Arabidopsis thaliana: one gene and its partner. The protein of the gene in region 2 interacts with the protein of the main gene of each other region in a biochemical or structural test. Each region holds a gene or a part of one and is shown on either strand. Other genes may lie near its edges. The genes, in order: CAO and CAB2.

Region 1 (13,516 bases), on a different chromosome or scaffold from region 2:
TCCCTTTTTATTTTTACTTTCAAGTCCAGAGTACAACCTTTGGATCGATTCTTGTCTCCATAACTAAAAAATAAATAATTTTGTTGATATTCCCATTCGAATTTCTTTAATATTTGTTTATTTATTTTCGTTCGTTTTTAATTGCATTATTCACAACTTTTCAGCAAAGCATTGCCAAGCTGGTGTCTGGCCCTCTTTTTCCGATGCTTTCTTTTAATTTCTTTTCTTAAAAATAAATTGATGACGATTTTAAATGACGACGAAACAAATTATCATTCGGTTTAAGATTTTTTTTCTTTTTTTGAATGAGGTTTGGTGAATTCATGTCTTCATTCTAATATAATCATTCAACGTCAGAGTCCGAATGTATTTTTTTATAATAATTCTAAATCAAATCTAACTACCTCGTTTTCATAAGCAACAACTATCTATTTCAAAAAATAAAATAAAAACGAATAAAACAAGGCATATATTGCTTAACGTATGGATCAAAAAGCTATACAATAACAGAGTAAAAAGAAGAAACTGAGAATTTAATATTATTAGTGTTTGAAAAATTAGGGATTTTTTTTGTGTGGAATAGCACATGGATAACTCATTCCCACGTGAAATCTAATCCGAGAACACGTGCCTTTCCGCAGAGGTCTCTCTGACTTTTTTTGATTAGTTTCAAGTTCCAGCAATTTCAAAATTCAAAGAGGTCTAAATTGTGTGAATTTGAGCAACTAGCTCGATGCTTGTTTTGATGCCCAACGTTAATATTTTTTTGGTTTCGACTAAACAACAAAATCATGACGTTTTTATTTGCTAATTACAATATTTATAATTATTCTATTTGACTTTTAATATCATTCCTTCGGACACTTATTTTGTTCTATCTAAAACCCATGTCTTGGGATATGGTTCCATTTGCCGAGCATTCTGCAGTCACCAGTCACCAGTCAGCACCACCCAAAATAAGATACTAATTTATTTATTTTTATTTTCTTATACGTCAACTAATTATTACTATATATATGTTGACTATGAGATACTTGGATATTACTTTTGTAAACTTTATCGTTTGAAATTATATGGTGTATTTTAGTCTAAGCGATTTTGTGGACTTAAACTCGTATTTATTAGAGGTTTTTTTTAATAAACTAAAGAAAAATAATAAGAGTATTTATCCAAGTATTATATTGAATGAAATCTTTTATATCTGAGATCGAAAAAATGTCCAATATAGTTTAGCTGTTTAAGATCATTTTGTATATTCGTCATTTTGTGCCTCCTCGGATACAAACATGCTTAAAGAATGGGGACCGTTAATTACGTTTAATCAAACCTAAAGCTATTTGAAAACTTAACTAAGGATGATAAAATGAAATGAGTATAGTAAAATATCTTCTCGATATATGTCATTATAATAACAGATAGATTCCCAGTGCTTTAAATTTACTCGAACCATCCTGGCAAAATCTGTGACCACTAGCTTTAAACCTAACGTCTTCATCAATGACAGTGTCTGATATATATGTATATGAGAATAAATTTATAATTTCTCCCCTGTACGTTAACGTTGTGTCTCAATGTAATTATAATTACTATTAGCTCACGTAATGAGTGCAGGATTAAGATTATTGAATTCGAAATGAATATATTTGGACTCACCCATATAACATATATATATATACAGGTCCAAATAAATGCGGGAGGAAAATTGTACCTGTAAAATAACCAATTAATCATATTTTTCTTTCTTTCTTGTTGTTGGATTATAGTGATTTTCTTATCTAGGAAAATAGAGTTCCCAATTATAAGGGCTAACTGTCCCTTGACAGAAAAAAAGAATCCTATGAGAAGAAAATTGAATGATATTTGCATCTATCTATAATCGTTTCATTTGATTTTACTATTAGCAACAAATTTATTTGATTTAATACAAACTTCAAAGGAAGTCGAGGCAGAACCAGAACATGTGTTTTTTCCACTTATGCATTTATTTGTTTATGATGAGCCTGTCCTTTTTGTTTTTGCCCTCTTCTTATTTTATGTACCACAAACTCCATCAACGCGATATATCACGGGTATTCTTTTTTTCCATTGTTTTATACAAACTATTGTAACTAGCATTATATATATAAAAAAGGACTTTAATTTTGTAGTTTTTATACGTAACGACTGTTCATATCATTGACTTTATACCTTTATACGAAACCTTTTTCACGTATAGAAAATTATATCTAAGTTTTTATTATAAATGTTTTTGTTATTGTTAACCTACTTTAACAAGAAGAAGAAGAAAAAAAAATAGGAAAGGTTTTGTTGTAAGAAATTGTATTAAAAAATAACATATTTACAACACGATGTGCTGTTATAAAAGCAAACTTATGAGTCCGAATGTTTTTGATCTGATTTAAAATACCAAAAACTAAAAAAGAAAAGAAAACACACAATGACTTTAATATGTAAAATACAAACAAATGTTGCAAAAGAAATTAAGAGAGTTTGGTAATGCCAAATAGGCAAAAGAATAATTTATGTGTGGCAAGCAATGAACAAAGCTGAGCTGTACATGTACCACACCTTTCATTCATTGGTTACCATCTAACTGAAAGTGACACGTGTCTTATAATCAACAAGGCTTTTCTGACGTGGCAGTGCATTTAATTATTTGATTTGACAAGTTTAGGCTATCGTTGTCAAACAAATTAACTTAATTGTATCAAAATTGCTCGCACAGTACGTAATTCTATTTTAAGTTTAAAATCAACGGAGACACTAGTGTCCTATTTAATTATCTCCAAGTAAAGAAAAGAAAAAATAAATATTTGTGCTTAGTTGATTAAAAATTAAAAAGCACGATTCTTGTCTTGAGCTCCTTACAGCTTACAAGATAATTAAGAACCAAATCACTTTTTTTGGTTAAAACAAATCATAATGTTAGAGGCTAGAGATACTTATGATGTTACCATGCACTTTCCCCTTAATAACTAGCTCACTTAATTACAGTAATACCATACAGTAATATCTACTTGATGTGCCTATTGAGTCATCGATCCAATGAACTTATTCACTGCTTCAATTTTATGAAATATCATTATTTTAACGTAAACATCATTACTAGTGTTTTTATCATCAAATTACCGATTTAGTGTAAGTAAATCGAATCAGTTTTTAAATACTGTTGGACACATATATACATAGACATGCCAATTACTCAAGTATCATGTTGGTTTGCATATACTCTAGTTTTAATCAGGGTTTATATTATTTCAATTTAAGTAAACGCATGCTAAATGATAGATCATGAAATAGAATTAGGGTATCCATTGTTTAATGAAATGAATCGTTGAACTGGTATAACATGCAAAAAGATAATGTATCCACTATGTAAGCATTATAAGGTGCCGCTATAACAAAAATATCCACATGGTCAAGACTGAAACGTCGCATTATCAAACAATATTACATGCTCAATTGTTAAATTTTCTAGCCAAATTAATAATATCGTCATGGAGGAAAAAAAATAGAGTTGAATAATTGGCAATGATCATAATGGATATGGGTTTCTCAAAAACGCAATCATATATCGTGCGACAAGGTTACAGTAATATAGATATCATGCTTATTCCAAAACGACGACTAAAACGTAAAAGATTACAGAACTAGTAAACGAGTATATAATGTTAGGGAATGTTCTTTAATTTATAATCTAGCTAGTATAAATCACATATCCTATTTCATATGCGAGATATGAACAACAAAGTAGTATACTTAATTGAATCAATAATAATCCAAATTAAATTTATATGGTTTAGATCATAGAGAACCTAAATATCTAAAACTAACAAAGTCTAAACCACCTCGATTAATTGGGAATAGGATGATAATATAAAGTCTAGATTTTGTTTTAGTTCAAAAATCGAAACAAAATCTTACTGTAATTAACTTACTACGTTCCCTTACTGAAGATTGATCACCACACGGTAAAAAAAACACCGTTAAAAGGTTAAACCAAAAATATTGCTAAGAAGACATTATTTGGTTAGTTGAATGAAAAATTAGGGAATGGGAAGTGTGAAACCTACCTAAAATATGGCTATGTAGATGATATTCATTGAAGAGAGAGAGAATATAGAAGTGTAAAAAGAGAAAATGGTGCCAGCTATGAATTAGAAGGATCAAAGCTTTCTCTGAAGCTGTCATCTATCTCTCTCTTTCCTTATAGTGCTCTGTTTCTCTCCACATTCACACACTCTCCCTCTCTCTCTCCATTATTAAATCACTTGTTGTTGTCTTTCTTTTTTCAAACCTTGGAAGCAAGGAATTCTTTTTTGATGATTTAATCGAAAGCTTCTTCCTCCAAACAAACATCAATGGCGGTTTATCCTAACGTTAATGGCGATAAGAAGCACTGGTGGTTCACTCACAGAAAGGTATAAGCGATCTCTAACCTGGAAATACAGTTCTTGATTCAAAGATCATCATCAATCATGTTAACTTTTTTTGGGTTTTCTCAGCTTGTTGATAAGTATATAAAGGATGCAACAACTTTAATGGCAAGTGAGGAGGCAAACGACGTCGCTTCAGCTCTTCATTTACTAGACGCAGCCTTATCTATCTCCCCGCGTTTGGAAACTGCGTTAGAGCTCAAGGCTAGATCTCTCCTCTTCCTCCGTCGTTTCAAGGATGTCGCCGATATGCTTCAGGATTATATCCCCAGTCTTAAACTCGACGACGAAGGATCCGCTTCTTCTCAAGGCTCTTCTTCCTCCGACGGTATCAACCTTCTCTCCGACGCCTCTTCCCCTGGCTCCTTTAAATGCTTCTCTGTTTCCGACTTGAAGAAGAAAGTCATGGCAGGCATTTGTAAAAAATGCGACAAAGAAGGGCAATGGAGGTAATATAACTTTTAACTCTCTTTTTTGTTTTACTTATTACTTTCAAGCAAAACGCAATCGTTGATTTTTAAACGCTGTTTCAGGTATGTGGTGTTGGGTCAAGCTTGTTGCCATCTAGGACTAATGGAGGATGCCATGGTTCTCCTACAAACCGGTAAACGCCTCGCCTCCGCCGAGTTCCGTCGCCGGAGTATTTGCTGGTCCGACGATAGCTTCCTTCTCCTCTCCGAATCCTCCTCTGCTTCTTCTCCACCACCCGAGAGCGAGAACTTCACCCATCTCCTCGCTCACATCAAGCTTCTTCTCCGTCGTCGCGCCGCTGCAATCGCCGCTCTCGACGCTGGACTGTTCTCCGAGTCGATCCGTCACTTCTCCAAGATCGTCGATGGCCGTCGCCCTGCGCCTCAAGGATTCCTCGCCGAATGCTACATGCATCGAGCCGCCGCTTATAGATCCGCCGGTAGAATCGCGGAAGCGATCGCCGATTGCAATAAAACCCTAGCTCTTGAACCCTCGTGTATCCAGGCGTTAGAAACCAGAGCCGCGCTTCTAGAAACGGTCAGGTGTTTTCCAGATTCGCTTCACGATCTAGAACACTTGAAGCTTCTCTACAACACCATTTTACGCGATCGGAAGCTTCCGGGTCCGGTGTGGAAGCGGCACAACGTGAAATACAGAGAGATTCCTGGGAAATTGTGCGTTTTGACAACGAAAACGCAGAAACTTAAGCAGAAAATCGCAAACGGAGAAACTGGGAATGTCGATTATTACGGCTTGATCGGAGTCAGACGCGGATGCACCAGATCGGAGCTCGATCGAGCTCATCTATTGCTATGTCTCAGATACAAACCCGATAGAGCCTCTTCTTTCATCGAACGGTGCGAGTTCACCGATCAAAACGACGTCGATTCGGTTAGAGATCGAGCCAAAATGTCGTCTCTGTTGCTTTACCGTTTGATTCAGAAAGGATACACCGCCGTGACAGCGATCATAGCCGAGGAGCAGAGGAAGAACGCCATTGCTCACGCTCAAAAGATTGAAGAACGCAAACCGGTTGAAAAATCCGGTTCTATTAAGAGAACCGGAAACGCTGAAACGAAACCGGTAAATTCCAATGCGTACCAAGGAGTATTCTGTAGAGATCTCGCTGCGGTTGGGAATCTACTAACCAGGGCTGGTTTCAACCATCCAATCCCGGTTAAATACGAAGCGCTCACCTGCTAAAAAATATTGAACCGAATTTTTTATCCTACCATGTCAGCCACTGGAAACGTCGTCGTTTCCGTAGATTCGTCTTCGGACAGAAAAACAAATCATTCAGCCGTCAAAAAAGAAAATAAAATAAGAAAATATATATACATTTGATGTATGAATACAAATGAAACAATGTATTTAGGTTTGGAAGATTATTCCAACTACAAGAAAATTTTGTCACTTTACTTTTATCTTCAATGTTCGTCTCCTTTGTTTCTTCTTCATCTTCATGTGCATATAAAACGACAGAAGCTTGATTTGCACGTAAATTAAAATACTAGTATCAAAACTTTTTTTTTCATTTTATTATCAAAATTATCTCTTAAGCTATTGAGCACTAATTTATTTTTTATTATTGAGTTCTCGAGATTTGCCTAGAAATAGTCGATGAGTCTGGCTCACGTCAGTAATATTCGGATGAGTCCTTATCTATAAAGTTTGGCTGCCATTTGATGGTATTGGGATGATTAATTTAATTAGGCAAATAAAATATAGATGGTGAAAACTAAATAAAAACTATTCACTTGCTGTATAATAATGTTAATACTCATATCATGTAAATCACTGAAGTGCAAATTCAAAAAAAAAAAAAAAAAAAAATGGTCTGCTTGCCATTTAAAGATGTTTAAAGATGGAGTAAGTATATATACACAAGTCGTAAAATCAAACACAAATAATATATTGACAAACTCATATATCATAATGTATACATACCAATTTAAATCCACAAGAAAATATCATATGAATGAGAAAACCAACCACATTTACAATTTTACTCATATTTATTTTATTGTTTTATATTTTTCTTTTCTTTTTGATGAGAATGTCTTAACACAATTATCTAGTATATAAAGATTTTTTCCAAAAAATAGAAGAACCTGTTGATTTTCTAAAAGTAGAAGAAAATAAGTGCAGTCCATAAAATAAAATCCTATAAAAATGTTAAAACTAGATTCTTTTTTAAAAAACTAAAATTTGCTGCAGACATCTAAAATTTTCGAAAATGATTGGGTGGCTAAGATTTCTTATCCACTAGAAAATCCAGTGAGTCCCGTTAACTCTCTTCTCTTCTCTAGTCTTGTCTTCTATTATGCAAAAGGTCTTCTTGGCCATGGATACTTGTGCTCTAGTAATCCATCAGTCTCTGTCTCGCATCAAACTTTCTCCTCCCAAATCTTCTTCTTCTTCTTCTTCTGCTTTCTCCCCTGAATCCTTACCGATCAGACGGATCGAGCTGTGTTTCCGAGGAGCTATATGTGCCGCCGTACAAAGAAACTACGAAGAAACGACCTCCTCCGTGGAAGAGGCAGAGGAAGATGATGAGTCATCATCATCGTACGGAGAAGTGAACAAGATCATTGGAAGCCGAACGGCGGGGGAAGGAGCCATGGAGTACCTTATCGAGTGGAAGGACGGCCATTCTCCGTCGTGGGTTCCATCGAGCTACATCGCAGCAGACGTAGTGTCGGAGTACGAGACACCCTGGTGGACGGCAGCTAGAAAAGCCGACGAGCAGGCCCTGTCACAGCTCCTGGAGGACCGAGACGTCGATGCCGTGGACGAAAACGGCCGGACGGCTCTGCTTTTCGTGGCAGGTCTGGGGTCGGACAAGTGCGTAAGGCTTCTGGCGGAGGCTGGAGCCGATCTCGACCACCGAGACATGAGGGGAGGCTTGACGGCGCTGCACATGGCGGCTGGTTACGTGAGGCCGGAGGTGGTGGAGGCGCTGGTGGAGCTGGGAGCTGATATTGAAGTGGAAGACGAGAGAGGGTTAACGGCGTTGGAACTAGCGAGGGAGATTCTGAAGACGACGCCGAAGGGGAATCCGATGCAGTTCGGGAGGAGAATTGGGTTAGAGAAAGTGATCAATGTCCTGGAAGGACAAGTGTTCGAGTACGCCGAGGTGGATGAGATCGTAGAGAAACGAGGGAAAGGCAAAGACGTTGAATATCTGGTCAGATGGAAGGACGGTGGAGATTGCGAGTGGGTGAAAGGTGTACACGTGGCGGAAGATGTGGCTAAGGACTACGAGGATGGGCTGGAGTACGCTGTAGCGGAGAGTGTGATCGGGAAGAGGGTGGGAGACGATGGGAAGACCATCGAGTATCTTGTCAAATGGACTGATATGTCTGATGCCACTTGGGAGCCTCAGGACAATGTCGACTCTACTCTTGTTCTACTCTACCAACAACAACAACCAATGAATGAATGATTGATTTTGATGATTACATTCTTCTCAATTTGCTTCTTTCTCATATGTGTTGGTTCATCTGACCGGTTCGGTTGGTACGTACCGGTACATTTTCATTTTCTTTTAAGATGTGATCTTGATGGTTTTTGGCCTTTTGGGGACACTATTTGATTTTATATCCATGCTTTGAATTTTGCTTCCCTTTTTGGGGAGATTCATGATGCTGGCTGACTTGCTCTTTATCGTCCCAGGTTTAGAGAATACATCGTCTTAGGCTTTTCTTTATCTCAAAACCCATTTACATTTAATTGGGCCTATATATTTCATATAGGAAGAGAGTACATGTAAACCCAATACACAACTTTTATTTATGGGTCCGTTTCTTGTAACATTTGTTGGTGATAAAAACAACTTCTGAAGAGTGATAATGTACAACTGCACTTTGCGATTAAGGAAATTATAGAAAGATACAAAGTCTGAATAAATGACTAGAAAATATGAATAAGTAGTATCCATTCTTCTCTAATTCAACATCATTTTTTTTTTTTTTTTTTTTTGACGATATTCGATGCATTGTGTCTATATGAGAGAAATTTTGGTTTGTCAGTTAATGGCTAGACTTTTATTATTATGAGCATCTAGATTTTCAGTGCATGTGATGTTACGTTGATGATGGACATAAGGAGACAAAAAGGACGGAGTTGATTTAGTACACATTTTCGTTTCTTTGTGAATACAACGATCGCCTATTTTTCGTTTGTAATTTTCCTCTTAATTCGAGAGGGGCCTCTAGTCATGTGTGTTACTTCTAGTTATAGTGACATGAACGGATGAGAAAAGTTTCTTTTTGTAAACAACATGCGTACGTAAATCAACCAAATATATTTAGTATAACAACCAAATTACTGTTGGACAACCAACCAAACAACAATTATGTAGATTATAGATTAGAGAAAACAAGGAACTAGGTCGATTAACCGCGACCACATTAGCCAAGTCCTCCAGTCGATTAATATAAATTGATGCCAAATATATTAGTTTTCACTGGGTTTTATATTATACTATCAGACCACAGAAGACATCACGTCACAGTTAACAACACTACATATTTCAGATTTTGTATGAAACGTAACTAGGTTTATATATGAGACCTTTTAACCAATTAAATGATAGTGATATGGTTTGTAACATTGTATTGTATGTATTTTAGTTGATGTGTGTGGTTGGTAAGGTATAAATTAGCTAGTGTTACGAAAAATGACTTCTTGCTTTTTCTTTCAAATTGAACGACGCTCTATTTCACTTAAATAAAACCACATTTAGTTATTTCAATGACAACATACTAAGTTTTTTCTTACATAAATTAAAAAGTAATTTTGGTTTCAGTCCAAATTTTTCTAGTTATAGGAAAGAAAATGAAAGAGTTGCTTTCAAAATATTGAATCCATTGTATTTAATTTTGAATATTGAATAGTATGTACTAAAGTCTTTTCTTTAGTAGACCAATCTAAATACGAACGAAAGTACCAAAACCATACGAAACGGCAAATAATGACATGTGGGGAACACGTAGTTAGATGAGCAGTAAATGGGAAACATATTTTGATGGTTGTCCTCATATTTTCGTGTATCGAGTTAGATAAGGAAACCTGTGAAAATTTATTTCTCAAAAGATTCCGTAAGATTCCGTCGAATATAATTGATATTTCAGTATTTTGGACTGGCAGCGAATATGGCAGACTATACAGATTGATCGTCTTCCGGCGTTGTTATAGACATTAACAAACTTTAACTACTCGTTTGCTTAATTAGGACCATCTGATGACTTTATTCTAAGTTCAAATTTAGATGACCTCTCTTTCTTGAACATATACTTGTTACATACTTAATTCATTGTGTTATTGCAATAAGTGAATTGTGTGGTTATCACTAACACGCTGACGTAAATTTACACGTGTTTATATGAACGCACACGTGTTTTGTAGCTCGAGCAAAAGACCATCTGGTCAACGGACTAGGAGGATCCGGCGTAAATCCTTTATATAATTTTTATCAAAATTATAAGAAGAACAAAAAATGTGCGATTACTATCTGATCTACGTATTCACGTGACAAACAACAATTAATTTCAATAAAGATCTACTAACTTTAGAGAAAAAATCTTATGTGTTAATAAAAAAGTAACGTCAATGATCTCGGCACACACTAGAATTAGTGTCTAAGAGAACCACGACGAACCTGCACGGACCGACCACGAGTCTCTCGACGGTGAATAAGCCACGACTTCAGTCTCCTTCTAAACCAACGTGGCGCTTCTTACACCACACACGTGTCATCATCTCCTTCTCCCTCGAACCCGCAAGCTCTTTTAATCCCTTTCAATTAATTAATTAACTATATATCACCTGCCCCTATATATATCTAAATCAGTCACTTTTTGCTTCTGTTGTCTGTCACTCAGTAACTTCTCTTTCTCACTTACACACTCTCTCTCTCTCTCTCCATTGCCTTGACTTTTGTGGTCAGTGGAATAAACACATATAACCGCCGGAGAAAATGGGAAGAGCGCCATGTTGCGAGAAGGTCGGTATCAAGAGAGGGCGGTGGACGGCGGAGGAGGACCAGATTCTCTCCAACTACATTCAATCCAACGGTGAAGGTTCTTGGAGATCTCTCCCCAAAAATGCCGGTAATAACATTTACACTTTTATTAACAAGATCATGCAACACAAACTTAATTTAATCTATAACAATGTATATATGAGAGAATAAGACATAGAGAAATAATCGTGGTTCTTGTCGTAATCTTCATGAAACATGGATTCTTAGTCAGTTTTTTTTTTTTGCTTTTGATAAAAGAATTAAGGATTGTTAGTAAGTTTTTTAAAAAATAAATTAAATTTTTAGGAAGGTTAGAAGTTTAACTGCAACCCTAATCTTTGTTTCCAATTTATTTCAGTTTTTGGGTTTTTCTTTTTTCGTGCGAATCACAGTCACGGTGGGTTGTTTAATGTAGATATATGTAAAATGCTGCCAAGTGCATGCTTTAAGAGGGTAGGTTATGTTATAGACTTATAGTATATGGACAAATGTTTAAAAGGAAATACAAACAGAAGCGTATTTATGTATTTTTGTCCGTTGTATATCATTTCAAGAATCAGATCAAAACCATATGACTAGTTTTGATTTGATTTCTAACCTCGCTTTTAATAGAAGGTTACTTAATGTAGTAGTTGAGAATTTTTTGTAGTTGTGATATATATTATATGCATAAGATATATGAATAAATACAATGATCAAAAAGCTAAGAATCTCGTGAGCAGTCACACATCAGACCCTAGTTAAATTAATAAATACCTGAAAACTTTATCAAAATTTATCTAACAAAATCTGCATAAACATATATTTTGACGTATGAATCTGCATCTAAATATGAAGTGTATTATTATATTGTTAATTGTTTTTATTTGTTTTTTGGAAAAGGATTAAAAAGGTGTGGAAAGAGCTGTAGATTGAGATGGATAAACTATCTAAGATCAGACCTCAAGCGTGGAAACATAACTCCAGAAGAAGAAGAACTCGTTGTTAAATTGCATTCCACTTTGGGAAACAGGTACTCTATTATTTTACTTTATTTTCCAAACTCTATTTTATTTATTATGTTTTTCATTTTTTCCCATTTATATTCGTTCAATTTGTTTTTATGCACTGTATCGTATAATAATGATATCATGTCGACCAAGTAAGTGGAGATTCGGTATTATAAGACGGCTTAATTACGATTATTCTCTCTCTTAAATACTATAAACTTTAGCGAAGCACATTTTTATGGTTGGAAAATTTAATTTAAAGTCGAAATGGTAAAATAAAAATACTATTTTATCGTCGAATGAGAAATAGTTATTTCGTTGTGGGTCTTCCTCTTAACCATTGGGGTGTTAGACTTTTTCTCTTTTAGTTGAGACAAACTAAATTGTACCTCATTTTTTTTACACTTCGTATATTACATAAGCATTAATAGGAACACAGTTGATATAACACATGTGCATCTGTACAACAACACTTCAAACAAAATACAGTCACATATGTATTGCAAGTTTTCAACATGAAAAACTAGTAAACATGAGAAAAAAAAAGCGAGGATCTGTTTATTTAAAATTTTAATTATTATTACTCAACGTTAAACAAGTATATGTGATTCATAGTAGTGTCCGCTAAAATAAATCCAATATTGGAAATCGGACAAGGAACTCAACGAGAGTAGTACGAATTAGTCATCGTCACTCATTACTGACATTGCTCGAGCGATGTCATGATTAGGTCAGCAGTCATATCAACATGGCAAATCAAATTTAGAACACTATTCTATTGATTCTCATTGGGCCACGAGGTTCTCTTATTCCCCGGAAAGATATTTAATTTTATCAAGGTTGTTCCAAATTGTGAATAGAGGATTAATATAATGCAATGAACAGAGGATTAATTATTGATTAATGCAATGCATGTAGGTGGTCACTAATCGCGGGTCATCTACCAGGGAGAACAGACAACGAAATAAAAAATTATTGGAACTCTCATCTCAGCCGTAAACTCCACAACTTCATTAGGAAGCCATCCATCTCTCAAGACGTCTCCGCCGTAATCATGACGAACGCTTCTTCAGCGCCACCGCCGCCGCAGGCAAAACGCAGACTTGGGAGAACGAGTAGGTCCGCTATGAAACCAAAAATCCACAGAACAAAAACTCGTAAAACGAAGAAAACGTCTGCACCACCGGAGCCTAACGCCGATGTAGCTGGGGCTGATAAAGAAGCATTAATGGTGGAGTCAAGTGGAGCCGAGGCTGAGCTAGGACGACCATGTGACTACTATGGAGATGATTGTAACAAAAATCTCATGAGCATTAATGGCGATAATGGAGTTTTAACGTTTGATGATGATATCATCGATCTTTTGTTGGACGAGTCAGATCCTGGCCACTTGTACACAAACACAACGTGCGGTGGTGATGGGGAGTTGCATAACATAAGAGACTCTGAAGGAGCCAGAGGGTTCTCGGATACTTGGAACCAAGGGAATCTCGACTGTCTTCTTCAGTCTTGTCCATCGGTGGAGTCGTTTCTCAACTACGACCACCAAGTTAACGATGCGTCGACGGATGAGTTTATCGATTGGGATTGTGTTT
Region 2 (12,912 bases):
CTTGGTGCGATTAAGAAAGCTGAAGATCGTGAGTTGTTCAAGGATGCGATGAAGAACATTGGGCTAAAGACTCCACCTTCAGGGATTGGGACCACTCTTGATGAGTGTTTTGACATTGCTGAGAAAATTGGTGAGTTCCCTTTGATTATCCGTCCTGCGTTTACTTTAGGTGGTACTGGTGGTGGAATTGCGTATAACAAAGAGGAGTTTGAGTCTATATGTAAATCGGGTTTGGCTGCGAGTGCGACAAGTCAAGTTCTTGTGGAGAAATCCTTGTTGGGTTGGAAAGAATATGAGCTTGAGGTGATGAGAGACTTAGCTGACAATGTTGTCATTATCTGTTCCATTGAGAATATTGATCCTATGGGTGTGCACACTGGTGATTCCATCACTGTGGCACCTGCACAGACTCTAACGGATAGAGAGTACCAGCGGCTTAGGGATTATTCCATTGCGATTATACGGGAGATTGGTGTTGAGTGTGGTGGATCTAATGTGCAGTTTGCTGTCAACCCGGTTGATGGTGAAGTTATGATCATAGAGATGAACCCTAGGGTCTCAAGATCTTCTGCTCTTGCTTCCAAGGCTACAGGGTTTCCCATTGCTAAAATGGCTGCCAAGTTGTCTGTTGGCTATACCTTGGATCAGATTCCTAATGATATCACGAGGAAAACACCGGCTAGCTTCGAGCCCTCCATCGATTATGTGGTGACTAAGGTTTGTCATTCCATACTTTTGGCTTTATTTGTGTTGCGAAATGAGATACGCTTGACTTTGAAGATTTACACACATCTATCCACTTCATGATATATAAACTCAAATGCATATTTTGCTTAACGATATCTATTTCTTTACCATGCAGATTCCTCGATTTGCATTTGAAAAGTTTCCAGGATCTCAGCCATTGCTAACGACCCAGATGAAATCTGTTGGGGAATCTATGGCTCTCGGCCGTACATTCCAAGAATCTTTCCAGAAAGCTCTGAGGTCTCTGGAGTGTGGATTCTCGGGTTGGGGTTGTGCAAAAATTAAAGAGCTAGATTGGGACTGGGATCAGCTGAAATACAGCCTAAGAGTCCCAAATCCTGACAGGATCCATGCGATATATGCTGCCATGAAAAAGGGTATGAAAATTGATGAAATCTACGAGTTGAGCATGGTGGACAAGTGGTTCCTAACCCAGCTTAAAGAGCTCGTGGACGTCGAACAGTATCTTATGTCCGGAACCTTGTCAGAGATTACAAAAGAAGACCTTTACGAAGTCAAAAAGCGGGGATTTAGTGACAAGCAAATCGCTTTTGCTACAAAGACAACCGAGGAAGAAGTCCGTACCAAGCGGATTTCTCTAGGAGTTGTTCCATCTTACAAGAGAGTGGATACATGTGCTGCAGAGTTCGAAGCGCATACACCATACATGTACTCTTCATATGATGTTGAATGTGAATCAGCTCCAAACAACAAGAAGAAGGTTTTGATTTTGGGTGGAGGGCCAAACCGCATTGGTCAAGGGATTGAATTTGATTACTGTTGTTGCCACACATCTTTCGCCTTACAGGTATGTCTTTAGACAATCTAAGCGTCTCTCCCAAAAGCCAGTAAACATTGTTTCAACTTTTTTATGCTAAACTTACTTATCTACTTTTTTTAATTTATTTGCAGGATGCTGGATATGAGACCATAATGTTGAACTCAAATCCTGAAACAGTATCCACAGATTATGATACAAGCGATAGGCTCTATTTTGAACCTCTCACAATCGAGGATGTTCTCAATGTTATCGACCTTGAGAAACCTGATGGCATAATAGTGCAATTTGGTGGTCAAACTCCTCTGAAACTTGCTCTGCCGATCAAACATTATTTGGATAAGCACATGCCCATGAGCTTGAGCGGAGCGGGACCTGTTCGCATCTGGGGTACATCACCTGACTCCATTGACGCTGCTGAAGACAGAGAGAGGTTCAATGCAATTCTCGACGAGCTGAAGATTGAGCAGCCCAAGGGAGGCATTGCAAAGAGCGAAGCTGATGCATTAGCCATAGCAAAGGAGGTAGGGTACCCAGTTGTGGTAAGACCTTCTTATGTTCTAGGTGGACGAGCAATGGAGATCGTTTATGATGACAGTAGACTAATAACCTATTTGGAAAATGCGGTACAAGTTGACCCAGAGAGACCTGTTTTGGTAGATAAATATCTTTCTGATGCCATTGAGATCGACGTTGATACCCTTACTGATTCCTATGGAAATGTGGTGATTGGTGGAATAATGGAGCATATCGAACAAGCTGGTGTGCATTCTGGTGACTCAGCTTGTATGCTTCCAACACAAACCATCCCAGCTTCTTGTTTGCAAACTATTCGAACATGGACCACTAAGCTGGCGAAGAAGCTAAATGTATGTGGGCTGATGAACTGTCAGTACGCAATCACAACATCTGGGGATGTTTTTTTGCTGGAAGCCAATCCCCGAGCTTCCCGTACTGTCCCTTTTGTGTCAAAAGCCATTGGACACCCTCTTGCCAAGTATGCAGCGCTGGTCATGTCGGGCAAATCTCTCAAAGATCTTAACTTTGAAAAAGAAGTTATCCCTAAACATGTCTCTGTGAAAGAAGCTGTTTTCCCGTTTGAGAAGTTCCAAGGATGCGATGTGATACTCGGGCCAGAGATGAGAAGCACAGGAGAAGTGATGAGCATCAGTTCTGAATTCTCAAGTGCGTTTGCAATGGCTCAGATCGCTGCAGGTCAAAAGCTACCTCTATCAGGCACAGTCTTCCTCAGCTTAAACGATATGACCAAACCGCACCTGGAGAAAATCGCGGTGTCCTTCCTCGAGCTTGGGTTCAAAATAGTTGCCACCTCGGGAACAGCTCATTTCCTGGAACTGAAAGGCATTCCAGTGGAGAGAGTGTTGAAGTTGCATGAAGGAAGACCACATGCTGCTGATATGGTGGCGAATGGTCAGATCCATTTGATGTTGATCACAAGCTCGGGTGATGCTCTTGATCAGAAAGATGGGAGACAGCTCAGACAAATGGCTCTAGCATACAAGGTACCTGTTATAACCACTGTTGCTGGTGCATTGGCCACTGCTGAGGGAATCAAGAGCTTGAAGTCAAGTGCCATTAAAATGACCGCTCTTCAGGACTTCTTTGAGGTAAAGAATGTATCTTCTTTGCTCGTCTGAGTTAGTTTTTTTGTTGTGTGTTGATCGTTTGTGTGGAACTTTTTTACGATAAATTTTAACGGATTTTGTTACCCATAAGCATTTCTATGAATAATCTTCGAAAATGCAGCAAACTTGTGATTTATCAATCGGCTTTGTTCCTTTAATTCAGATATACACAAGCCTTTGATTGTATCAGGTCATGTAACGCTTGGCTTAAACTCGAGTTATGTTCTATAAGATTGTGCAATTGTAGAAACAGCCTCTTCATTTGAGCGAACCCAAGAACATTCCATTTGAATTTTAGTTAATACGAGACTAGTATGAGAGAAAATTGAGTTTGATTAATGACAAATCATACAAAGTCTTGCAAATTTACATCTGAAAGTCTCAAACCATCACATACAACCTTCTCTTTCTCCTCATGTCTCTCACTCGAATTCAAAAGACTGAAAGAAAAGCAAAATACAAACTGATAAAACTTGGCTCACTTTCCGGGAACAAAGTTGGTTGCGAAGGCCCATGCGTTGTTGTTGACTGGATCGGCCAAATGGTCAGCAAGGTTCTCTATCGGTCCCTTACCAGTGACAATGGCTTGAACGAAGAATCCAAACATAGAGAACATAGCCAATCTTCCGTTCTTGAGCTCCTTCACCTTCAACTCCGCGAAAGCCTCTGGGTCGGTAGCAAGACCCAATGGGTCGAAGCTGCCACCGGGGTAAAGCAAGTCCTCGGCCTCTCCCAACGGCCCATTTCCTGCGACTCTGTAGCCTTCAACAGCTCCCATCAAGATAACTTGAGTGGCCCAAATGGCCAAAATGCTCTGAGCGTGGACCAAGCTAGGGTTTCCCAAGTAATCGAGTCCTCCATCGCTAAAGATCTGTGAACCGGCCTTGAACCAAACCGCCTCTCCGAACTTGACTCCGTTCCTAGCCAAAAGCTCAGGGAAGACGCAGCCTAGGGCTCCGAGCATAGCCCACCTGCTGTGGATAACTTCTAGCTCACGGTTCCTTGCGAATGTCTCGGGATCAGCTGAAAGTCCAGCGGTGTCCCATCCGTAGTCTCCGGGGAACTCTCCGGTAAGGTAGCTCGGTGACTCGCCAGAGAATGGACCCAAGTACTTGACTCGGTCGGATCCGTACCATGGGCTGCCTGATGGACCCTTTGGCTTGGCAACAGTCTTCCTCATTGTCACACGGCCGCTTCCGAGGACTTCAGATGCCGCGGGGGAAAGGTTCACAGCCTTTCCGGCGAAGGCAGGGGAGGAGAGAGCCATTGTGGAGGCGGCCATTGAAACTTTTTGTGTTTTTTTTTTTTTTTGGTGACTAACTTGTGAGTGAGAGTGATTGAAAATGGTTAGGTAGGGTTGGATTATATAGGAAAATTGCGAGTAACGTTTGTTATCTATGAAGTAATCTATATCTCTTTACTCATTGGATTTTTGAGATTTTGGTTTTAACGTTTACTATTCTTATGTGGCAGTCTCTAGTCCACTAGCTTTTGCTATGATTTTTTCATTGCAGCCAAAGCATTTCGAGACCACATGTTGCAAGTCTTTTGGAAGCAGCTTAATAGTTCTGAATAGAGATAACTTATTTGTGTGATCTTTCCTTTAAATAAAAGTAAAGATAGTGTGATATTGATGACCGAAACATCATAGAGAGTAACATTAGAAGTCCAACATCACTACCAATTTACAATAACATTGATTCCATTGTCAGTTTATCCACTAACCTGATAAATCTCATGAATAATGTAATTAATTTAACCTTGAAACTCAGTTGTTTTTGCTTTTAAATCAAAATGCAAAGACTCAAAAACACTGATTATTTGCATATTTTGCAGAAACATAAAAACTATCCAATTGATTGTTCAAACACTGAAAAACTATCATCTGGTATGTTCAACATCATTGGTTTAGACAATATGTAGCTTGTAAATTTTTAATCATGATTCTAGTAATCTGTTTTGTAAACTTGAACAACCTTTTAAAATCTAAAGTAACTCATTCTATCTTTCTAATTCATCATAAAATTCAAAATTTGTAGAGATGAAAAACCACAACAGAAAACATTTTGTTAGAGGTTTAATTTGCAACAAACTATTCCTCAATCACTTTGATAGAAACTCTTTAAGCTATCATTCGTAGTTTACTGATTTTTTCATCACCCTAAATAATTTCGACAGTAAAAGTTTTTTACAAAACACAATTTTATTTTTACAATCACTAATTGCCCTCACACATGAATTCACCCACTCTTTGGAACGCAATTTCTAAGCTTTGGGGTGAAAATGAATAAACCTAGCTATATTCATGTTCTCCTGTTCTATTCTCTTGTTCTTTCGATACCACACACCAATGACACAGGCGCTAGCTCTTCTATGCTCCAAACATATATGTTATCATGTGTTCACCAATTATAGCTAGTGTGACAAGCGAACCTGGTCCACAGAGGATGTCACGGAAGGCAATCTCTCGCACGACAATGGATTTTAACTAATATGTAAGATATATGATCAGTCCATTCAATGCGTGGATGTGATTTTAATATGGTATCAGAGCAATGTGATATATTGTTATCCAGATATCGTATGAGCCAATGTTACGAGCTTCAGAATCAACCAAACACGGAAGAAACTACTTCATTATCTATTCTCTAATTCTCTCAATCAGAAGAAAAAAAACGATTGCAATTTCTTCTTCAATGCGATCATATTTTGTGAAGAGACGATATACAAGTTAAATCAAGGGAATATAAAAAACTTATATAAAAGACTCTTTCGTGTTGTTCAAGCTAACATCCGAGAATCACATTTTCTCTTGATTTGAAAAGAACATAATCTTTGTACCCATTGCCTTAATATGTTCAATCACGTTGCTCGATTGTAGAAATAGCCTCTACAACGGAGTGAACCCAAGAACTGAAAATCCAATTCAATTATAGTTCTACGAAACATATTTAGAGAACAATGAGTTATTTGATTAATGACAAATCATACAAAGTCTTTGCAAATTTACATCTGAAAGTCTCTACCATCCACCACAAACACAAACCTACTCTTTCTCCTCCTGTCTCTCACTCGAATTCAAAAGATTGAAAGAAAAGTAAATTACAAACAGATAGAACTTGGCTCACTTTCCGGGAACAAAGTTGGTGGCAAAGGCCCAAGCGTTGTTGTTGACTGGATCGGCCAAATGGTCAGCAAGGTTCTCTATCGGTCCCTTACCAGTGACGATGGCTTGAACGAAGAATCCAAACATAGAGAACATAGCCAATCTTCCGTTCTTGAGCTCCTTTACCTTCAACTCAGCGAAGGCCTCTGGGTCGGTAGCCAAACCCAATGGGTCGAAACTGCCACCGGGGTAAAGCAAGTCCTCGGCCTCTCCCAATGGCCCATTTCCTGCGACTCTGTAACCTTCAACGGCTCCCATCAAAATAACTTGTGTGGCCCAAATGGCCAAAATGCTCTGAGCGTGAACCAAGCTAGGGTTTCCCAAGTAATCGAGCCCTCCATCGCTGAAGATCTGTGAACCAGCCTTGAACCAAACTGCCTCTCCAAACTTGACTCCGTTCCTGGCCAAAAGCTCAGGGAAGACGCAGCCTAGGGCTCCGAGCATGGCCCACCTGCTGTGGATAACTTCTAGCTCACGGTTCCTTGCGAATGTCTCGGGGTCAGCGGATAGACCAGCTGTGTCCCATCCGTAGTCTCCAGGGAACTCTCCGGTAAGGTAGCTGGGTGACTCGCCAGAGAATGGACCCAAGTACTTGACTCGGTCGGATCCGTACCATGGGCTGCCTGATGGACCCTTTGGCTTGGCAACAGTCTTCCTCATTGTCACACGGCCGCTTCCAAGGACTTCTGATGCCGCAGGGGAAAGGTTCACAGCCTTTCCGGCGAAAGCAGGGGAGGAGAGAGCCATTGTTGAGGCGGCCATTGAAACTTTTTTGTGTTTTTTTTTTTTTTATGACTAACTTGTGAGTGAGAGTGATTAAAACTGGTTCGATAGTGTTGGATTATATAGGGATATTGTAACGTTTGTTATATCTGAAGTAATCTTTATCTGTTCATTCATTGGATTTTAAGATTTTTGTTTTATCGTTTAGTAGTCTTACGTGGCAATCTCTAGTCCACCAGCATTTGTTTTGATTTTTTCATTGCAGCCAAGCGTTTTGTGACCACAAGTTATGAGCCACTGAATACTTCAACGGTTACACTTACTTACACCCTCGTGACAAGAATGATTTTTGCTACAACCCAATAACTAAAACTTAAAGTATAACATTTTGAAAATATAGATTCTGATGATCGAAACATTAATATAAAGTAACATTATAAAAAGCATTTACCCACACATAAATATCAATATTTTCAATGGTAATTAGTTCATCATCACTACCAGTTTAATTTCAATTATGAATCGATTTCATCGTCACTTTATCCAATAACCAAAATAATCTCATGAATTATGTGATATCACCTTAAAACTTTGACGTTTTACTCTTTATCGAAGAAACACAACGATTAATGAAACACTGTTTTAACTTATCGACCATTTCTAAGAACATGAAAGAACTATATTAATTCATATGGCATGTTCATCATCATGGGTTTAGACTTTAGAGAACATATAGCTACTTTTTTTCTTATCATGATTCAAGTTATCTTTATTGTAAACTTCAACAACCTTTTGAACAAACTTATTTATTCGCTTTTTCCGAATTCATCAACAAATTACTCCTCAATCACACTCCTATAGAAAACGGTTTAAGCTATCATTACATGTCTAGTTGGTTTTACTCAGCCCTAGAAGTGTTGTTTATTGCATCACTTTCCACGAAGCACAATTTTTCTTTTTTACAATCACTAGACCTCACAGGCTCACACATATGCTTTAGAGCACATTCTAAACTTTGAACTATAAAAGCTGTTAACACTAATACACTATGCGTTCTTTTTTGCTCCAAACACTTTTGATCCATTATTAGGAGACACTCCACTTAGAAAGATTTTCTAATCCTTTGGTCAACTAGGAAGTTCAAGGTTTTTCTAAACAGAAATTCATTTCACAAGTAATTTAATTTATAAGGAAATGAATAGAGAAATCAAATCATTGAAGAACTACAAAATATAGATTCAAGGTCAGGTCTAAGAAAATATTCCTGAAGCTCAAAAAAGAGTTTTCCTCTCACATTATAGAATTGGCCTTTACTTCAACATTTTCCCACCTATTCCACATTTGGTCAGAACATTTTTAATTACTTGTGGATCAATTTCCGGTTGAAATGGGTTTGGTGAATATCCGGTTCAGTTATATGGTGGCCGTTGGAATTGGCTTATTAGTTGTGGCCGTTGTTGAAGCCGTTGGTATTGGTAAGGGAGAAGCAGACTTGTGGCTATGAGTCTATGACCATGACTCGTGATTATGGAGCTGTCTTATGACCCTGACCATCACCTTGATCTGGTGGATTCCAATGTTTTCTTCTTCTTCTAATAAAATATTATGGTCAATACAGGTGCTAATTAAGATGGTAATAATTTCTTATGTTTCTGTGGTAAAGTTTGATTCAATTCCGTAGTTTTAGATAATCTTATTTCCATACATAAATTTTATAGTTTTATCTACTTTGTTCTTATGTTTTATCTCTAGCCAAGAGTTATTATTATTATCAGAAGAAGAAAAAAAAAAGAAGCATATATACAAAAGGTTTAATAAAATGTATTATACAAGGCAATTATCCAAATTTTTTTTGTTTTGGTTTACATTGATGCTCTCAGGATTTCATAAGGATAGAGAGATCTATTCGTATACGTGTCACGTCATGAGTGGGTGTTTCGCCAATCCATGAAACGCACCTAGATATCTAAAACACATATCAATTGCGAATCTGCGAAGTGCGAGCCATTAACCACGTAAGCAAACAAACAATCTAAACCCCAAAAAAAATCTATGACTAGCCAATAGCAACCTCAGAGATTGATATTTCAAGATAAGACAGTATTTAGATTTCTGTATTATATATAGCGAAAATCGCATCAATACCAAACCACCCATTTCTTGGCTTACAACAACAAATCTTAAACGTTTTACTTTGTGCTGCACTACTCAACCTCAATGGCCGCCTCAACAATGGCTCTCTCCTCCCCTGCCTTCGCCGGTAAGGCCGTCAAGCTTTCCCCCGCGGCATCTGAAGTCCTTGGAAGCGGCCGTGTGACAATGAGGAAGACTGTTGCCAAGCCAAAGGGCCCATCAGGCAGCCCATGGTACGGATCTGACCGTGTCAAGTACTTGGGTCCATTCTCTGGCGAATCACCGAGCTACCTTACCGGAGAGTTCCCCGGAGACTACGGATGGGACACCGCCGGACTTTCAGCTGACCCCGAGACATTCGCAAGGAACCGTGAACTAGAAGTTATCCACAGCAGGTGGGCCATGCTCGGAGCCCTAGGCTGCGTCTTCCCTGAGCTTTTGGCTAGAAACGGAGTCAAGTTCGGAGAGGCGGTTTGGTTCAAGGCCGGTTCACAGATCTTCAGCGATGGAGGGCTCGATTACTTGGGAAACCCTAGCTTGGTTCACGCTCAGAGCATTTTGGCCATTTGGGCCACACAAGTTATTTTGATGGGAGCCGTTGAAGGCTACAGAGTCGCAGGAAATGGGCCATTGGGAGAGGCCGAGGACTTGCTTTACCCCGGTGGCAGCTTCGACCCATTGGGTTTGGCTACCGACCCAGAGGCATTCGCTGAGTTGAAGGTGAAGGAGCTCAAGAACGGAAGATTGGCTATGTTCTCTATGTTTGGATTCTTCGTTCAAGCCATCGTCACTGGTAAGGGACCGATAGAGAACCTTGCTGACCATTTGGCCGATCCAGTTAACAACAACGCATGGGCCTTCGCCACCAACTTTGTTCCCGGAAAGTGAGCCAAGTTTTATCTGTATTTTGCTTCAGTCTTTGCTTCGTGAGTGTGAGAGGAGAAAGAGAGCTTGTTTAGATGTAAAATTTGCAAGACTTTGTATTTTTTTCATTAATCAAATAACTCGTTTTTCTCTCAAATTATCTGGCAATTACCAAATTGGATTCGTTTTATGTCCTTCGGATCACTCAATTGCAGAGTTTATTACCACAATTGAACAACTTATACATGTCAAAGTTAAGTTAATGGTATTGGAGAATCAAAAATTCATTGATTTTATCCGTACAAATCAAACACATTTGTTTAAAAATTCACTTTGACCAAAAATAGATGACGTTTTCCACTAGAAAATATACTAACAAAGCAAAACCAAAAACTGATGAATAATATATTCTTCTACACACTAGTACATTGTAAAGATCTGGTTATTTTTTTCTTCCTCTGGTGTAAAATCTTAATCAGTTACTCCTTCTCTATCGCTTAACTGAAGAGTCATCTTAATATTCATTGAAGCCAACTCTGCAGCCAAGTACCTGAACACATAGGGCATTGCAACTGTTTCCATGCCTTTACTTGTCTTGCAAGAATAGCAAGTTACCTTCTTTGGAGTTCTACCAGGAGGTAACTTTCCAATTTCTTGAATAAGCTTCTTCTGTTGAACGTTCACAACAGATGATGTGAGCAAGCTTCCACATAGCGAACACACATCTGCAATGTGGTGATCTGAAGATGTATGAAGCCTGTCGTGTAATAGATAGGAGGCTCCATGAGCAAGTAGTGAGTCTCGCTCCATTTCACCAAACCGAATCCCACCACCTCGTTTTCTTCCCTTTATTGGCTGATGAGTTAGCTGATCCACTTGTCCCGTAGATCTAACCTGTAAGCCAGAGTATTATGATTCAGATATAGCACGAAGATGAGACAAGTGCCAGTTGGAGACTATATGTCAGGATGATAAAAGAAATGAAGCCAGAAGGGTCGAAAAACCTGGAATTTGTCTGAGACCATGTGACGCAGTCTCTGGTAGTAAACAGGCCCCATAAATATCTCACACTTCAGTTCTACTCCTAAATACCCACTATACAATGTCTCGGTACCATAATGGTTGAACCCTTTTTCCTTTAACATGGAGCCAAGATCATCAACAAGCAAACTGGACTTGCTCTCCTCTTCTCCGTTTGTTTTTTTTACTGCATCACGAAACGGTGTTGCATCTACAAACTTTCCATGCAAACTACCTCCCTGTAAAAGCCGAGGATATAAGCATTACATATACTTTACTTACCAGCTAAAAATAAAAATGGGAAGGGTTCAACAACACATGAAAAGAAGATGCACAGCATCAGCGTCGATGGAACCTAAGAATCAGACAAATTTCTAAGGAGAAAAATTCTGAAGGATACCTTAGCAGCAATAGATTCCAAAAGCATAGCAATTGTCATTCTTGATGGGAAAGCATGCGGGTTAATGATGAGATCTGGACGCATTCCAGTAACTCCATTAAATGGCATGTCAATATCAGGCCACAATTGAGAACAAACACCCTTTTGCCCATGTCTACTGCTGAACTTGTCACCGATTATGGGGTTTCTGGCATGCCGGAAACGAATATTCGCCTGCCAAGAAACTCGAAAATTAGATTTTAAGCCAATTGGAATCTGTCTATGCGATAGTTGGAGTTAAACCTCACCCTTTGAGGATGTTTCTTGCTTTTCATGTCGACAGAGACAAAGTCAACTATGACAGGGTCGGTACCTTTACGCTTCATGTGCCTTGTTTTGTTAGTTACCTCATCATAGATACTACAATACGGCTCATCTGGATATAATTTCTGCGTTAAACCCAACAAATTAGTGAGTTTCTATGAAAGTTGACAAGGAAACTAAAATTAAATATTTAACTTACAGTACATAGAGAGGATAGAAAGCAGTTATTTACCTGTCCAACAGATGGTAACCCATCAGCATCGATACGAAAATGTTCTGCTTTGTTAGTACTCCTCCTAAAACTTTTAGAACCACTATCAAATCGGCTATTCTGATCTGAAAGATCAATATTTTCTGTCTGGGAGATCATATAAAGACAAGGGTTAGGAAATTAAAAAAAAATAAGAAATTTGGGTGATTTGTATAATGATACTAAATCTCTCGCTGCAACTACAAGATTTTTTTATGGGGTTCATAAAGGAACAAGTGTAGGGGACATTGACCTAGGGGACATTGACCAGGATTATGATAAAGCTCCAGACCCAAAGGAACTTATTACATCAAGCTTAAGCACTATATTCAGCTAATCAGCAGGACTCTTAATAAAGAAATGAGAATGGGAACTCGAACCTGGTATATTTGCCCATGGCACATTCCCCGCTCCACAGATGATTTGTTCAAAATCATCGCGTCTTCCATATCAAATCTGTGAGACAGGTAGGTGGATAAAAGAACAAGAGAAGAAACATTAACGAAAAAAGCTTATCACTGACAAGATCTTGTACGCAAAAGCAGTTTCTTACCCTGTATGTGCGAGGACAGCAACAATTGCATTAGTCCCTGTAGGATTCTCATCAATACTGTAAGTGGTGTATGTTTTTGTGCGGACCACAGGGGATTGAGGAGTCTGTAGCATACAAAAAGAATTTAATAATGGGACCAAAAGAGACGAAATGATCAACTGAAAATTGTACCATGTACTTTCAGCTTTCTAAGAGTAAGATAGGAAATGACCTGCAGGTGGTAAATCTTCTGGTCGGCACGAAATTGGAGTGCTTGAGTAGAGTACGCCATGGTTTGTTTCGCCATCTGTATAACTGAAAATTTAAAAAACTTCCAGCAGCATAATCAT

What was found.
Region 1: the proteins of CAB2 (region 2) and CAO form a complex in vitro, tested with the Arabidopsis thaliana proteins (one study listed by BioGRID).

The regions. Positions count from the first base shown.
Region 1 is NC_003071.7:19,465,551-19,479,066, forward strand, and holds CAO (chloroplast signal recognition particle component (CAO)), read left to right. Parts: upstream 1-7,022; 5' UTR 7,023-7,230; coding exon 7,231-8,352; 3' UTR 8,353-8,837; downstream 8,838-13,516. Other genes in the region: AT2G47440 (Tetratricopeptide repeat (TPR)-like superfamily protein), read left to right, coding at 4,362-4,421, 4,506-4,885, 4,970-6,110; MYB12 (myb domain protein 12), read left to right, coding at 10,888-11,020, 11,815-11,944, 12,840-13,516.
Region 2 is NC_003070.9:10,468,794-10,481,705, forward strand, and holds CAB2 (chlorophyll A/B-binding protein 2), read right to left. Parts: upstream 7,177-12,912; 5' UTR 7,100-7,176; coding exon 6,296-7,099; 3' UTR 5,863-6,295; downstream 1-5,862. Other genes in the region: CARB (carbamoyl phosphate synthetase B), read left to right, coding at 1-717, 863-1,555, 1,660-3,183; CAB3 (chlorophyll A/B binding protein 3), read right to left, coding at 3,650-4,453; CAB1 (chlorophyll A/B binding protein 1), read left to right, coding at 9,278-10,081; NRPA2 (nuclear RNA polymerase A2), read right to left, coding at 10,529-10,951, 11,062-11,316, 11,478-11,690, 11,765-11,905, 12,013-12,138, 12,411-12,486, 12,584-12,687, 12,795-12,869.